Sus scrofa: one gene and its partner. The protein of the gene in region 2 binds, or shares a complex with, the protein of the main gene of each other region. Links are inferred from orthologs where the notes say so. Each region holds a gene or a part of one and is shown on either strand. Other genes may lie near its edges.

Evidence for each region.
Region 1: CDK2AP1 (region 2) and MTA1 share a complex: the UniProt entries of both Homo sapiens proteins name them as parts of the nucleosome remodeling and deacetylase (NuRD) repressor complex. The link is inferred for Sus scrofa from reciprocal best matches to the Homo sapiens genes CDK2AP1 and MTA1.

What each region holds. Positions count from the first base shown.
Region 1 is NW_018084979.1:3,457,533-3,465,949, reverse strand, and holds the start of MTA1 (metastasis-associated protein MTA1), read right to left. Parts: upstream 4,910-8,417; 5' UTR 4,830-4,909; coding exon 4,802-4,829; intron 1-4,801. UniProt on the Homo sapiens protein: Transcriptional coregulator which can act as both a transcriptional corepressor and coactivator. Acts as a component of the histone deacetylase NuRD complex which participates in the remodeling of chromatin.
Region 2 is NC_010456.5:29,628,425-29,636,695, reverse strand, and holds the start of CDK2AP1 (cyclin-dependent kinase 2-associated protein 1), read right to left. Parts: upstream 5,613-8,271; 5' UTR 5,358-5,612; coding exon 5,303-5,357; intron 4,910-5,302; exon of another isoform or gene 4,800-4,909; intron 839-4,799; coding exon 741-838; intron 1-740. UniProt on the Homo sapiens protein: Inhibitor of cyclin-dependent kinase CDK2. Also acts as a component of the histone deacetylase NuRD complex which participates in the remodeling of chromatin.

The DNA of each region.
Region 1 (8,417 bases), on a different chromosome or scaffold from region 2:
CCGCATACAGTGATGGCCCTGCAAGGACAGCCAGTGACGGCCATGTGCAGTCCCCGCAAAAGTTCAGGAATGAGATGGGACCTGCCTAGAGGGGGAAGTGGCCAGTAACCAAGGGGCCTGGCCTCCCTCGAGGGCTGGAGCACAGGGCGGGGGCTGAGGACCGCCAGGCGCCACACCTGAGCGCGGCAGGTGTCCCCATCCCTCTGGACACTGGATGAGGGGACAGCATCATCTCCAAGCAGACCCCAGAGAAGGCCCTCCCAGGGCCCTTGGCCTAGAATGCCGACAACCCCCTGGGCCCGGCCTTTGAGCTGAGGCTGCCCTCTCAAGCCCAGGGGAGCCCCGCCCTCCCCTTGAGACAAGCAGCCCGCACCTCAAGGTGTCACTGTCACACTCGTCACCCAGCAGAGCCCAGCGGCACCGGGGGCAGGGCCCAGCTGCCCGGCCTCTAGGGCGTTCAGACTTAACTTTCCACTGCGGGAGCCAAGGGGCGGTTTCCAGGGGGGGCCACCAGACCTGCTCCTCAGAAGCGCCACCTCCAAGGCTGGACACGGACCGCGGCTGGAAAAGGGCCAGGGAGGGGCCGCAGGGCCCAGCGTCCCTGCGAGAAGGCACCCATCCACGTCCCACGGACGAGGAGCACGGAGGCCCCAAGAAACCTGGGGTACGGGGGGGGAGGGAGCAGCCCCGTGGCTGTGACGTGGCGCCAGGCAGAGGGTGCGGGGGCCAAGGGTGCCTCCCGGGCTCTCCCCAGACGCCGCAGGACACGGGTGGCCCTGGGGACGGCACCGGCAGCCTCGCCTGTCCACGCGGGGCCCGGGAGCCCCAGGACGCCAGGCCCTCAGACATGGCCCAGCTGCTCCCTGAGGACAGGCGGGCCTGGGGGGCAGAGACGCGGGGGCCCAGGGACAGCCGGAGCCGGGGCAGCATGGGACAGCGCAGGATCGCAAGTTCCTGGGCAGGCAAGCTGGGGAGCAGGTGTGTCCAGCCGGCCGCATGGGCAGGTCACTGCAGACAGCAGGGGTGCAGGGCCAAGGGGACCTCGGGCCTGAAGGACGTGCTTCTTGGGACCGTCTACGCCGACCTCCCTGAACCACGGCTCCTCTTCTCATCAGCCCGAGTTTTTAACGGCCCCGTTTCCCCCGGGAGGCACCACGGAAGGCCCCGGCCCAGCCCGGCCCCTCGCAGCCCAAGGCCCATGCCGGGACCCCCGCCTCGCCTGGGTCCCCGGCGCAGCCCGGCTGGCCCTGCCCAAGTGCGGAACTGTCATGTGTGAAGGCCGCACCTGTTCAAAAGTTTACCCAAAAACCAAAGATGCATTTCTGGCCACAGGGACACTTCAAGCTGCCTGCAGGGTGAGGGGCGGGCCCGTTACCTCTCCCAAGTGTATCTTTAAAAATCAAACTACCGGAAAGAGGGGACGCTGCCTTCTCCCAAAGAAGGGAAAACAGAAACCCTGACATGGGTGCAGCTACCGACCGCCAATTAAAACACACCCGCCCAGGGGTTCCCGCTGTGGCGCAGCAGTAACAAACCCAACTAGTACCCCGAGGATGCTGGTTCGATTCCTGGGCCAGCTCAGCAGGTTGAGGACCCGGCGTCGCCGGGAGCTGTGGTGGAGGTCGCAGATGTGGCCCGGATCTGGCGGCGTGGCTGTGGCTGTGGTGTAGGCTGGCGGCTGGAGCTCCGATTCGACCCCTAGCCTGGGAACTTTCATATGCCGCACACACCGCCCTAAGAAAAAACGCAAAAAACACAAAAACCACACCTCCCCAAACAGTGGCTGTGTTGTCAGGAGGCTCCGGGCTGCTGGCTTTCGCCTTTCTGTCCTGAGACACAGCAGACCAGGTTTCTGCATGAACCGTCCAGAGAGAAGAGCTGTCTGTGGGGCCCTCAGCCCATGGCTGGTTCTGGACGCCTGCTCGAGGCCCCCCTGCCCTCAGGGCACGGACCCCAGAGGAGCCGGGCCGTGGCTGACCCCGCCGTACACACCGAGACCTCGCCTGCCACCCTTGCGGCCACAGCTGCCACTGCCGACAGAAGGCCTCTGTCCAGGCCAGGTCACTTCCCAGGGACGAAGCAGGCCCTGCCCCTCCCAGGCCGACCCAATCGGCCCAGGCGGTCAGCTGGCCCAAAGCTGCAGCCAGGCCTTCACCCCGCCCGACTCCTGGCAGGGCCTTGGGACAGCCTGCCAGGTGGGACACGCAGGACTCCCAAGTGACGCGGGACTCTGCGAGCAACTTCTCATGTAAGTGTGGCCCACACAGTATTCGGGACACACGTATGCTAAGAAACTGTTTATCTGAAATTCAAATTTAACAGGCGTCCTGTGCTTCTCCCTGCTGAAGCCGGCACCTTCGGCAAAGGCTCTGCTCTCCGGGTCTTTAGTGGAGGAGACCCCGGAGGCGGGCGGGGGCAGGCCCCCGGCCAGGGCAGGACGCCTCCATCTGGACCCTGAGACACCCAGACACGGACCCCCGCGCAGCAGCAGCACCTCGGGACAGCAGCCCAGCCGGCCCGCACCAGGCCGGCCGAGCCCACGGCCCAGTGGACAGGGGCAAACGAGGCTTCCCTGCAGGGACCGAAGGGGTCCAAGTGGAAGCAGCCCCACCCATGGGCTACACCACAGGACCCCTGTTTACACCAAGGGAGGGGGGTTGCCAAGAGGAGGGTGACAGAAGTCCAAGTCCAGGGGCACCCCGGCCCTTGGAACCAGTCGCGACAAGCAGGCACGGGGCGGGGGGCCTGGGAGGGAGAGGCAGAGGAGGCCACGGAGGGCCTCTGGGTGACACCCAAGCCTCCCTCTCCAGCCTCGGTGTCTGCGGCCGGCCGGGAGCTGGGCGCCCCTGCCCTGGGAACACTCCATTTACTGAACACGCTGAGCAAGACTTCAGGGCCACAGCCTGGGGTGGGAGGTGAGCCCACACCTGCAGAGAGGCTCTGCGTGGGGAAAGCCAAGGGGCACCGAGTGGGCGGGGGGACGGCCAGACCAGAGGAGGGCCTTGGGCTGGGCAGGAGGGGGTCTGCGCTGAGGAAAGGCGTTCCAGGAGGGCGAGGGGGTGGCACTGAAAGGGGGCAGCTGCGAGGCGGGCAGGAGCCCTGGGCTGCAGCAGCTGGGCTAGGGGCCAACGGACGGAGAAAGCGACTCCGTCCGTGGGGTTCCACGGGGGGCCACCCAGCCTGGCAGTGTATTGAGAGACCCCGGGGGCCTCCCTCCACAGATCGGCTCCCCCCCGGACTGGAGAAGTTGGGAAACCAACAGGCCCCTCTCTGAAGGCCCCCGCCCCCTAGCCTGCTCTCCCCCCGCCACCGCCGTGTCCACCAGGGGCCTGCTGCCGAATGGGGTAAGGGCCCCCATTTCCGTGACACCTCTGAGCCAGAGAGGAGGGAGGGCTGGACAGCGGGGCGGGTGCGCCCAAGGTCACAAGGTTGGCCTGGCACTCGGGGGTCAGCCGGCCAGCGAGAGAGGGTAGACTGAAGACACAGGTGACTTGGAAAGCCAGGCCAGAGCTGTCCTCAGCCCTGACCAAAGGGGGGCAAGTGGGCGGCTCAAAGTCTCCGAGAGGGTGGGCATCTCACCACCTGTGAAGGACCAGATGAGGCCAGCTCGGGACCCCGTGGGGACCCGTAGCACGAGCCTCCTAGAGCCCCCTCCCCACAAAGTGGGGCAAAGCCCAAAGCTGGAGGCTTCCTGGGGCTTGAGTGGGAGAAGCAACAGCCCCAGGAAGGAAGCCCCCACCCCGGATCTCAGCTAGCTCTGCACCCCCTAACCAGGGGGCCACCTGCCTCTTTCCCAAATGCAAAGCACCTCCCTGCTGGGCCGCAGAAACAGGAGACAGCAGAGAAAAGATCAGGGTGCCAGCAGCACGCTGGGGGGAGCACAGGCCGCTGAGGACCTGGAGAGGGAATCCTGCCGGGGAAGCCCCCAGGCCCACGCCGGCCCAGAGGGCAGCTCCCAGGTGACCGCAGGCTCGCGGCGGGAACGCGGCCGCCACATACAGCTCCCCACCCCCCGAGGGGACCACTGCCCCCCGCCCCCAGCAGCTGAACCAGCCCTCGGCGCCGCCGCGGGGGTGCTCTCCACACCACAAGGGCCCCAAACTCCCACTCCCAGGAGCCGCCAGCACCTCCCAATGCCACGTGCTCCTGCTCCCGAGTTGGGGGGATCCCGCCAGGCGCCCCAGCCCCAAAGGATGCTCTGCGACTCCCAGAGCTCCTCAGCCCCACGCTCAGCCCCCAACAGGTGGGCAGAGCCCCCGCCTGGCCGCTGCCGGCCCAGCCACTACCCCCCACCGGCTCCAGGAGGGGCCGGGCCAAGGGGCCAAGTCGGGTGGCGACGAGCACGGCCAGGGCAGAGGTGGTGGTGGAGGAGCCGGCTGCTCAGAAAAGATGGAGCGGGAAGGGGAAGGAGACAGGGGCGGGGGGGGGGGCGCAGCAGAGGAGTGGGCGCCGCGGGCAGGAGGGAGGGTGGCCCAGGCAGGCGGCCTGCAGTGGGGGAGGGGTGCAGAGGTGGAGGGAGGGGACCAGAAGTGGGCCGATGGGGGGGCGATGGGGAGGCGGGCGGAGGGGGAGGGGGGAAGCGGAACGGGGGGAGGGGCGGGACAAGATGGGGGACCCGGGCAGGGGGTGCCGAGGGGGCGCGCGCGGGGGGAAGGGGGCGGCGGACGGCGAGGCCCGGGGCGCCGACCGGGGCCTGAGGCGCGGCGGGGCGGCGCGATGGGGGGCCCGGCGGGGACGCGGGTGGCGGGGCCGGGGCCCGCGGCGCCTCGCGGCGGCGGCGGCGGGCGGGCGGCGGCCTTACCTCCGACCCTGTACATGTTGGCGGCCATGTCCGGCGGCGGCGGCGGAGGCCGCGGGCTGGGCCGGGCTGGGCGCTGGGCTCGGCGCGGGCGGCCTGGAAAATGGAGGCGCGCGGGCGCGGGGCGCGGGGGCGCGGGCGGGCGGGCGGTTTAAAGGGGCCGCGCTGCCGCCGCCGCCGCCGCCGCCGCCGCTGCCGCCGCCGCCGCCGCCGCCGCCGCCGCCGCCGCCGAGGCCGCCGAGGCCGCCGAGGCCGCGCAGGGACCGAGGGCCGCGGCGCGGGCGGGAGAGGAAGAGGAGGAGCGGCCGCGGGGAGGGAGGGGCCTCGGGCGCCACCGCCCACCGCGCGGGCCGTTACCCGCCCCGCGGCCGCGCGCTCCCCGCCGCCTCCCGCGCCCCCGCCCCGCCCCGCCCGCACCCCGGGCCCCGGGCCGCAGCGGCCCATCGGCCCTCCGCCCCGGGTCCGCCCTGGCCCCCCCCCGCCCCCCGCCCGGCCCTTTCCGCGCAGCCTCCCGCCCGAGGGCGCCCTCCGAGTCCGCGCGTTCGCAGGCGCTCGGCCGCCCGCCGCTCCGTGGGCGGCCCGGGCCCTCCGGCCCCGGCCCTCGGCGCCCCGCCCGCACGGCCCCCGGCACACAGTTGCGGGCCGCTTTCCCCCACCTCTCAGCTGGCACGGCCCCCCTGACGGTGCCCGAGGGAGGAGGGGTGGGCGTGCCCGGAGGAGGCCGCCCTCCGGAAGGCGCCCCCCGCCCCCGGGGGGGCCCCCCCCCGCAGGCACAGCCCAGACCAGGGGGTGCAGGGAGGCGCGGGGGCCGCGGGAGCGAGCGAGGCTCCCGCCTGTCCTCCCAGCCCCGCGTGTGAGCTGGGCGCCTGAGGTCCAGGACGGCCCGGACGCTGCCCGGGGAGGCGGGTGGGGAGGCTGCTGGGCGGAGGGGATGGAGCCCCGCACGGAGAGAAGCAAGGGGCCGGGTCCAGGATCAACCTGACTGCCAGGGGGCTGCAAAGGAGGAGCCAGCCCTGTGGGACCTGGAGGGGCTGGGGCTCCAGAGGCCCCAGGGCTGACCGCCTGCCAGGAAAGGCAGAGGAGCAGGGGCTAGGTGCTGCTGACATGTAGGCCGTCCCCCAAGTGTCGCGAGGTGCGATGGTCTCCCTCGCTCCCCGCAGGCCTGGTCCCTGCCTCCGGGGCCTGCATCTCCTCATCTGGACGGCGAAGCTGCAGCACTACCTAACAGGTGGACCAAAACTTAATCAGAACCCCCAATAAATACATGCCCAGGCAGCTGCTGGTCACAGAGAGTGCCCACAACGTCCTGCCTGTAAAGTGCCTGCTCCTGCCTCCCTTCTGGAAATAAGACAGCCCCTGGAGAGCAGAGGCAGCTGAAAGGTGGGGGCCGTTTTCCTCCCGGCGCGGGTGCTGGCAGGTGAGTGGCAGTCGGAAGCCATTGGAATTGCACGACTCCCCCAAGGAGGAGGAATCGCCCTCCCAAAGCACCGTGACTTCTAATAAACCCTTGGGAGAGGCCGCCAAGCCCGCGCCCGCTCCTCGGCTGGCTTTCGCCCTGTGTTCCTCTCCCAAGATGGACAGAAAGGAGACTGCACACAAGGCCCAGCCCCTAGACCAGCTCTGGGACAAGTCACTTGGCAAAAAGGACAGGGGTGAGGAGTTCCTGTCGTGGCGCAGTGGAACGGGTTCCATCCCTGGCCTCGCTCAGTGGGTCAAGGAGCCAGCGTTGCCATGGGCTGTGGTGTAGGTCGCAGATGCAGCTCAGATCCGGCCTTGCTGTGGCCGTGATGTAGGCCGGCGGCTACAGCTCCAGTTAGACCCCAGCCTGGGAACCTCCATAGGCCATGGGTGCGGCCCTAAAGAGACAAAAAAAATTTTTGAATAAAAACAAAAAACAAAAATAATTTGATTCTTAAACTCAGAGGAAGGAAGGAAGCATTCATCTAATTTCAGCAATCATGTCTTCTCTCTACATTTTAAAATCTGAAAGGACTATTCTACACTTAGTCTGCATTTCTGTACATGCTCTTGTGTCTGCCTGGGCCTTTAGAAATATCCGAACAAACTTCACCCTGTTAACAGCAGTCTTGAGGATAAAATTCTTGGCGAGATTTTTAAAACTTTGTTGGGTCGCTGAACAGCGAGCAAGGCTTCTGTAAGACCAACGAAGTCATTGTGGTCAACGGTCAGTGCTGGGCAGCAACTGCATGCTGGCCTGGGGAGGGCTCCAGTGACACCTCCCAGGTGCCCGGCCAGCCCTGGGGGCCGTGCCCTGCGAGGGGAGCCAAGGGCAGCTCTCCCTTCTGCCGGGCGTATCCAGAGGGGCTTCTGCTTCCTGCTCTGAGCCACCTGACCCGCGAGCCAGCCCAGGTGACCGTCCTTGCCGCCACAGGGGCACCCGAGTGGTGTCCCTTGAGTCTGGGGAGTCATACTGGTCCTCCCAGACTTTAGGGAGAGACCTACCTGCTTGGGACAGTTTAGAATGGATGCACAGTGGTCACACTACAGTGTCCCCTCTCTGTGGTGACTGGGCACCCTGTCCTGAGCAGTGTGAGCTGCCCGACCTGTGTGCCCTGGGGCCCCGCCTCTCATGCAGGCTCCCAGCCAGGGCACTGGGGACCCTGGGGCCCCGCAACTCTTGGTTGCTGGGGGCCTGGGCTCTGCGGGAACTGAGCAGCACTCTTACCCAGCCGATGCCAGGCGCCCCAGTGGAAGGCAGGTGCCGCCCCTCAAAGGTCTTCACCCCAAACCTGTCACTGTGCTCAGCTGGTGGCAAGAGTGTGGGGAAGCTGGCTGACCAGCGACCTTAGAACAGTCTCTTGATCACCAAGCGGGCCTGAGGCCATCCTGTGGCCCTGACGTGGGGACAGGGCAGAAGAGAGTTGTGGGCCCCTGGCTCCGAAGGCGGAGGCGGAGAACGGGGGTGGGGGCTCTGGAAGCCCAGCGGGGCTGGCGCCCGAGGCAAGACAGCAGCCCCGCCGCCCGGCACAGCCCGGTGAGGCCGCCTCAGCCTCAGCAGACCCTCCCCTTCGGGGATCTGCCTGAAGGCACTGACTCCGTGGTAGCTTGTTAGGGTGGTGGCAGGAAACCCACACACTTGGCGGACAAAAAACTGTCTCCAGGCACTATCACCTCTCCCTGGACACCAGGCCCAACTGGAGAGGGCCATGGCCTCCCTGCTCGTCCCCCCAGGGCCAGCGGGGGACGATGCCCAGCCTTGGGCCCCAGCTCCAGGGAGGCTGTGCAGCTTCTGCTGCTGTGGTGGGGAGCGCTGGGTGGTCCCAGGGAGTGAGCCTTCGTGCAGGCCAGAGGGCCCTGGACCCACCCCATCTGACACCCCAGGAGGCCTGGCAGGGTGAGCAGGTGAGGCCCTGGGCCTCTGCTGAAGACACGCTGTCCTTGAGAACCACTCGGGGCCCCAGCCCCTGTCATTGCCGTCATAGCTGCTAACACTTCAGCTTAGAGGCTGGGGGTTTTCCTGCCCAGCGTGGTGTCTGGCCCAGGGCAGATTTTGGCCCCTGACACCTCCTCCCCACTTCATTGGGGGGGGGGGCTGGAGAAGGAGGAGGGGGTGCCATGGGGTCTCCCGTGGCCCTGCCCAAACCTCACCCCTGCCCTT
Region 2 (8,271 bases):
CTTATCCCAGAGGCTGGCCTCCATGGCGACCTCGGAACATGAGTTCCAGCCACTACAGGGGAGAACCTCACAGCTGGCAGCCCAGGCACCGAGGGCCCTTGGGGCACCACTTCCTTGGCTTTCTCCACTGATGGCCCCCAAACCCAGTGGGAAGACCAAGTCTCGGCAAGGTTGCCAAGTAGGGGTCATGGTCCTGTAACTGGTGGAACCAGGTGTGAAACTCAGGGGCCCCCAGCTCTCTATGAAACCCACCCGGACTCCACTAGGACATGAGCCCCCACCTCTCTGACGGGGCCACAACCTTGTGGGGAATGAGTGGGAATGGGCACCCCCTGACACCAGCCTCTATCCAAGCTCAGAGCAAGAGTTGAGGCCATACCTCACTTCCCTAGGAACAAAGCATGAAAACCCCCAGGGACATATGTGGGCTGGTGGTCCCAACAGGACTGTGGCTCTTGGAGTTTCCAGCCTCCCACATGCAGCATGTGGAAGTTCCCAGGCCAGGGATTGAACCCGCACCATGGCAGTGACCCAGGCCGCTGCAGTGGCAGCATCAGATCCTTCACCCACTGAGCTATAAGGGAACTCCCATCACCCCTCTGTTCTGAAGCCCTAGCCTTGAGTTGAGGAGGCTCAGATGACCGCTCCATTCCTTCATCTCTACTCCTTCCACAGCTCCCCCTCAGGGCCCAGGCTGCCCTCAGAGCCCCTCCCCCTGGGCATCACCCCCCCTGCTGTACCTGGGTATAGCCTAGAGATGGTGGCCCATAGTCACTCAGCAGCTGGCGGTACTGTGAAGATGTCGCCATACTGGTGGAGGGCGGGTGGACACTCCCAGCTACGGGGAAGGAGACAGGAGTTAATAATCAAGTAGCCTTGGCTAACTGTACCAGAGGTGAGGACTCTCAGTCCTCCTGCTCAGGCCTCAAGCCATCAACAGTACTCTTTTATCTCCAAGGACAGAGAACCCTACTCTTGCTCCTGGTTTGGCCATGGCTGACAAGCAGCCTAGATGATTGATGGTAAAATATAGCTAATAGGCTCCTGATCTTCACATACGCCAACCACCACAGCAGACATTGCTAATCAAACACAGAAATCCTTCCCATCCATTCAGTCTAGATTGGTACCAAAGATGAAATCTGCTGCTGTTTCCTGCCTAACCCTTGCAAGTCCCCTTTCCCTGGGTCCTGCTCCCCAGAGGCTGATACCCTAGAGCCACAAGCCTGCCACAGGAGCCCACTTGCCACTAAGGCTGGCCTGCTCCTGGGCTAATACTTCCTCTGTGCCCTAACCTCTGCTGGACTATATCGTGAGGAAGATGGGGGACAGTCGAGAGGTTCTGAGACCCAACCCTAGCAGGGGACTGGTGTTCTAGATACAAAGTCAGGAATCTGGAGTACATCCCAGCCTGCATATCCTCAAACAAGTCCCTTACCTCTGAGCTCCTGTCGCCTCTCCCCAAAGAGGGGACAAGAGTCTTGACAGTCTGAGTCTATGCCCAGATGGCTTGCACCCCAAGAGAGGAGGGGTCAGACCCTACTGGGAGACACTGGCCCGCAGCAGAGGGGCCACGTGGGGCCAGGGCCAGGCCCAGAATGGAGTCTCCCAGATGGCAGTTGGGAGATGCTCAACAGGGAATTTTCCAGCTCCAGCTCAGTAGCTGGAAGCATGCAGACCCGTAATGGCGTCCGAGTGGCCATTAGCGGGTAAAGGATGTCCTGCAGAATTACAAACAGCGGTAACCATGGAGAATTTACCTAGCCCTCCTCAGCAGCTGCCCGCCTGCCTCCACGCCTGGCCGGGGAGCAGCTTCCCCTCTGCCTGCCGCCCCCAGAGCCAAACGGTCCCTCTCTCACGCACACAGCAGGCTCTGCAGACTTGGCCCCGGGGATGGACAGCTGGTGCCAGGCCGGCCAAACCGACCAGCTGCTCATCTGGTGTGGGCAAGGGGAGGGGCAGGGAGGAAGGAAGTCAGGAGCTCAGGCTGATAGAACTGGAAGGAGCCCTGGAGCCCCTCCCTGGAGAGAGAGCAACACAGACCAGAGAGGGTGGGCACTGCCCCAGGCCACACAGTGCAGAAGCGGCTACCTGTCCCTCTGTCCAGAAGCTGGGGACAGCCCCATACCCAATCTCAAGCCTGCCCTGGAATTTTTCCACTGGGGCCCGGATTTATGCTCAAGCACAAGATGTGCAGTCAGGAAACATGGATTCTGCCACCTCTAGGCTGCAGACTGGGCACAGCGCTGTGCTGCTCGGAGCCTCACTGCCACACCTCTAGAGCAGCGATGCTGAAACACCTGTGGTATGGAACTACAAGCACGTGAGCACATGTGGGACCTCTGTCTGAGGCAACTGTGAGTGTGCAGTGTCCAGAACACAAGAAGGTGTGGCAGGGCGGGTGTCCCCCACACCCCAGGTCTCCTCACCACATCAACCAAACCCCAATTTCCTGATCTTCTGATGTGGGTGGTGAGTGCGGTCTGGGTAGCTCAGGCTTCGCCATCCCAGGCCCAGGTTCAAGTCCTGGCCACTACAAGGTATTACACCATTCTGTAAGGCCAGGATGCTAAATGCCAAGACTGGGGGCGAGGGGTGGGGGGTGAACTGCACTGTTCAGCACTTTGAGGCATCTAGAAGATTCCAACTCCCTGGCAGGAGGTGAGCTGGACACCTGTCCTCCTCCTCTTATTGCTGTTTTGCATTTCTTGCCTCCCTGACCCCACCTTCTCTCCTACAGGCAAGGGCCTGGACTAGGAGCCAGTTCAGCTGTGTGACTTAAGGCAAGGCCCTTCCCTCTCTGGGCCTCAGTTTATCCGTCAGTTTGAGGCAATGGTTCCTAACAGAATGTCTAAAGGCTCTAGCTCCTACTCCTCCGCAATGCTGGGGTTAGGTCTTAGGGGAGCTCTGGGAAGAGGGAGGAAGGAGAGCCCCCACGTTTTGGTTAGGGGTGTGGAGGGAGGGGGAGATGGGAAACAGCCCAGGGCTTGACTTGCCCTGGGTGATGTGGTAGGGACCCCGAATCAGTGGCCTCACTTGCTGTTGGCGGGGAGGGTATCTGTGGCCCTAGGGAGAGTTTGCAGAAGGGCCCTGAGTTCCACTCATGCCCACTCCTTCCCGCAGATACAGGGAGGGCCAGCGGCTGCCGAAGGCCACGGAGAAAACCAGACTGGGCGTGAGCACGGCTGGCCGGCCGTCTCGGAGCATCGCAGACAATGTGCGCAGTGTGCGGGGGACCAGGGAGGGCCCAGAGCTGAGGGAGGGATTGGCAGAGGCCAGCAGCTCCTGGGGCCAGGCGCGGCTCCCCACCCCCACGCCAGACAAAGAGCAGCCTGGGCCTGGGGAGCTGGCGGCCTTCCCGCCACTTGGGGCGCCTGGGGGGGCTCTCTGGCGGGGAGGCAGGGGCTTTGTCTAACTCAGCCACTGCCACTGCCGGCCAGGCCGCGGCTTGGCAACTCGCGAGCAGGAGGCAGGGCTGGAGGGCGTGAGGGATGATGACAAGGAAGCCGGAGGAGCGGCAGCGGAGAGTCCATCTTGGATGCAAATGGCAGGGGGAGATCGGGCTTTCCAAAGGGGTCCACAGGGAGGGGAGCAGCCTGCCACAGATCTGGGGACCTCAGCACTCCTCCTGGAGTTCACCAGAGGAGAAAGAAGAAAATCTGTGCACAGGTGCTAGCCAGCCCAGAACAGGACTTCAGGGGTGCTGAGTGGCTGCCTCTGCCACCGTGACCCCAGTCCCCAAAGGTCCCAGTTTAGGGTCCCTGCCTCAGCTGTACCAGGGCAGGCCTGAGATATCCCACCTGTACAGGCAGCAGCAAGACCCTCCATCCTTACCACAGTCAGATGAAGGAGGCAGTGAGAAATACTACAGGCAGCAAAGCTTGTCTTTATAAGGTTTGCAGACCCCAGAAGAGGTGAGAACATTTGAAGAGAAAATAGTGGCTGTTTGCTCTTGAGGCTTAGAGCCCACATTTGACCAACTTAGCTATCCCCCACCCAATCACATCCTGAATCTTAACCCTTTCCACTCCCCAATCTGTGTCTAAGAAGTTAAAAAATAAATAAATATTTATTTATTTACATGCATTGCTTTTCTGGGTCCCCTATAGGATTTTTGGAGTTATGGAGTCAACCATTTGGAGACAAGGCTCAAAACTTTCGGACAACTGCCAGCGTGGCATTTCGGACCAGAGACGCCAGTCTCCTCCCCGCCAATCACACCCCCCCACGCCCCCACGCGCCTAGCTTTTTGGAAGTTTGTTTCCCACCAAGAGTCCAAAGGAGAAGGGCTATAGTGAAGGGAAAGAGCAAATCACCCCCGAACCCCACAATTTTACCCTCCCCTCCCCCCGGTGCCTTTCGTCCTTGGGAGGAGACCCTGGACACAGCCTAAAGCTGCCTGACAACTTCTGGAGGAGTTTCCTGGGACCGTCCAGTTCCAGCCCCAAGGAAGGGAGAGGACGGCCCCTAGGCTTCTGCGGGAGGGGACCTTCCAAACCCAGAGTTGGGGGCTCAAGATGCGGGGCCCCGAAATGCGGGCCCCAGGCCGAAATGCCGCCCCCACCCTCCGCCTGCAGGCACTCCGAAACCCCGGGTCTTCAACTTCGCTCATTCTGCCGCACACGCCTGAGGGGACCTTGCCGCGAGCCCCATTTTGGGCACCCCGCTCCCACGCGCCAGGCCGAGCCGCCACCGATGATGTCCCCTGCACCGCCGGTGACCCCAGCGGCCCCGGGCCCTCAGGGCGGGCTGCACTTGGCACGCTCGCCACCCCGCAGCGCTGCCGCGCGTGGCCTAACCTTGCTCACGTGCACGCAGCAGTCTCGGCCCCCGCCCGGGCTTGACCCCCGCTCCCCAAGGGCGGCCCGCGCCCCGCTCCCGGAGCCCCGCTCCCCGCGCGGCCCGGCCGCTCCCGACTCCCGCCGGCAGGGGCCCTCGCCGAGCCGCCCAAAAGCCGGAGGAAAACGGAGCCGAGAAAGCCTCCCCCGCCCTCGCTCGCCGCGCTCCCCGCGAGCCCTCAGCCGCCGGCGTGGGGGGGACCGCGGCGGCAGCCAGCGCCCCGGGCCCCGGCCCGGCCCGAGGCCCGGCGCGGCACAGGGCGCACCAGCGAACTTTGGCGGCGTGGGCGCCAGAATCATGGCGGCGGCGGCGGCGGCCCCGCTGCCCCGGGCCGGGACCCGGTGCCTGCCACCCCCGGCCGCCGCGGGTCCCCGGGAGCCGGGGCCGGGGCCGGGCGCGCGGGCCCTCAACTTGGCCGCACTTGGGGCGCGGCGCACGCGGCCCGCAGGGCGCACTCACTTACCGGCGTTGAGGGAGGCGGCGGGCATGTGCGCGGTCAAGTTCGGTTTGTAAGACATCCCCCCGAGCGGCGGGGCGCGCCGGGGCGCAGCGGGGCCAGGCCCGCGAGGGCGACGGCGGCGGCGAGGCCGGACGGCGGCGAGGCGGCCCCGGCGTCCGTGCGCCCGTCCGTGCGCCCGCCGAGCTCCCGCGCACTTTTTGTTGTTGACGGCTCGGGCCGCACCGGCAAATATGGCCGTCCCTCACCCTGACACCCGCTGCAGTATATCACCCATACATCGGGCGGGCGCGCGGGCGCAGGGGCGGCCGCAAACTTTGAGCGGAGCCAGCGGGGCCGGCCCGGGCCGGGAGGGGGCGGCCCGGCGCGCCGCGGCCCGGCGTCAGGGGGCGGCTCCGCCCGCTGCCGCGCCCCGCGCCTCCGGGCGCGCTCGGCGCCCGCAACTTGGCAAAGTTTGGGGGGCTGGGGTCCCGGCGGCGCCCGAGGCCCGCGTGGGTCCCTTTCTTCTTCTACGCAGGCGGCGCCTGAAGATTTGTTCTTTTACCGATTAATTTTTTTAATAGCTAGGTAGGATTGCAGAATTACTTTTTTCCCCCTGGACTGTGGGGGCAGGGATGGAAAATTACCTGGAGAAAATGGTGGCGAGTGGTATTTTTAAGCGCGTAGATCTTTCCAGACGCCAAGGTCTGGCTACACCCCAGAGTAAGAACAACCAATTTTTGACATTGATTTCAAATAAATTTCACGTCCCTGTCGGTATTAAGTGGTTTTAACCCTTTAGGGGCCTAGACACCTTTGAGACTGTACAAAAGCCAGCAGCCTCCTCCCCTGGAAAATACACCCGAACATTCACACAATTTTGCATCTTAACACATTCAGATACTTAAGAAGCGCCTACTGTGTGCGGTGCACTGTTCCAGGTGCTAAAGATACAGAATAAACTTGACAAAGTTTCTTCTCTCCTGGAGAATTTTTTTGCAATTTTTGACTCTCCTCTACCCCCACCCCAGCCCACTTCTCAGATCTGACTGAAACACAATCACCAAATGTATTTTGCATTAGGTGATGAAGCTTTTGAAGGTATTATTTCTTGGAGTTCTGCTTGAATAGTAAATCTTGTCAAAATACAAGAGATGCCCACCCTTTTCTGCCCTTTGTAATCGCCATGCTTTGCCGAATTTTTTTGATTAGCCACAGACATTCAGATACATCCGGATCTACTGAGGAAGGCATCAACCTTTTTGCCTGAAAGCAAAGGGACACCATCCATGCCTTCCCTCCATCCCTTTAGGAATGAAGGTACAGGTGACACTCCCTTCTCAGCACCCCTTGTGATAAGCTTTAGGCTGGTTCAGCCAAGAATGTTCAGTGATTCTGCTGTTAGGCACCGGGGACTATATCCAATCGCTTGTGATAGAACATAATGGAAGATAATGTGAGAAGTGTGTGTAAGTATATATATATATGTGTGTATGTATGTATATATGTATGAATGACTGAGCTCTTTGCTGTACAGCAGACATTGACAAGAACATTGTAAATCAACTATAATAAAAAAAAATTTTTTAGGTGTTCCCATCATGGCTCAGCGGCAACAAACCCGACTAGTATCTATAAGGATGCAGGTTCGATCCCTGGCCTTGCTCAGTGGGTTAAGGATCTAGCATTGCCGTGAGCTGTAGTGTAGGTCACAGACTCGGCTCAGATCCTGAGCTGCTGTGGCTATGGCATAGGCTGGCAGCTATAGCTCTGATTCAACCCCTTAGCCTGAAAATTTCTATATGCTACGGGTACAGCCCGAAAAAGACAAAGACAAAAAAAAAAAAAAAAAAAACACGTTTTTTTTTAAGAATGCTCAGTGAAATTTTTTTCACGAATAAATTAATATCACCCTTTTGCTACCCTGCCTCTAGAGGACCAGTACTCTAGAGTAGCATTGTCTAAAAGAAAAGTATTGCAGGCCACGCAAATAATTTAAAAGTTTTAGTAGTCACATTTTAGAAAGTAAGAACTGGTGAAATTAATCTCAATTATAACATAGTTTATTTAACATAATATACCCCAAAATGGTATGATTTTGATACATAATGAATATAAAGCAATTATTAAGATACTTTACATTCTTTTTTATGATACTAAACTCTTCAAAACCCAAACTGTATTTTACCCTTACAGCTCATCCTTATTCAGACTGGCCACAGGTCAAGTGCTCAGTAGCCATGATAGCTAGCGATTTTCCTGTTGAACCAGTGAAGGGCTAGAAACTACAAGAATTGGACTCATAAGGTATTCATTCTGGCTCCATCACCTGCCAGCTGTTTGACAAAACCTCCATTTCCTTGCAGCAAGAATCCAGATCTCTGTGGCCTGCCTCAGTCCCTTCTACAGATGCTGTGGGCTCTTTTCTTTCTATGTTGTGTTTTTAACATGCTGCCCACCATCCCCCTCACTAATCGTTATTGAAAAATATTTTTCCTTTTGTTTTTAATTGAGATCTAGTTTACTTAGTATAAAATTTATCCTTTTAAGTGGTTAAGGATTCGAGATGTTGATACTGCTATGGTGGGAGTTCAATCTCTGGCCCAGGAACTTCTGCATGCCACTGGTGCAGCCAAATAAAATAAAATAAAATATACAGTTCAGGGAGTTCCTGTTGTGGTTCAGTGGTCAACGAATCCTACCAGAAACCATGAAGTTGCAGGTTCAATCCCCGGCCTTGCTCAGTGGGTTAAGGATCTGACATTGCCATGAGCTGTGGTGTAGGTTGCAGATGTGGCTTGGAACCCACGTTGCTGTGACTGTGGCATAGACCAGCAGCTACAGGTCCAATTAGACCTCTAGCCTGGGAACCTCCATATGCTGTAGGTGCGGCCCTAGAAAAGACCAAAAAAAAAAAAAAATATATATATATATATATATATATATATATGCACACACACACACACACACACACACACACACACACACACACACAC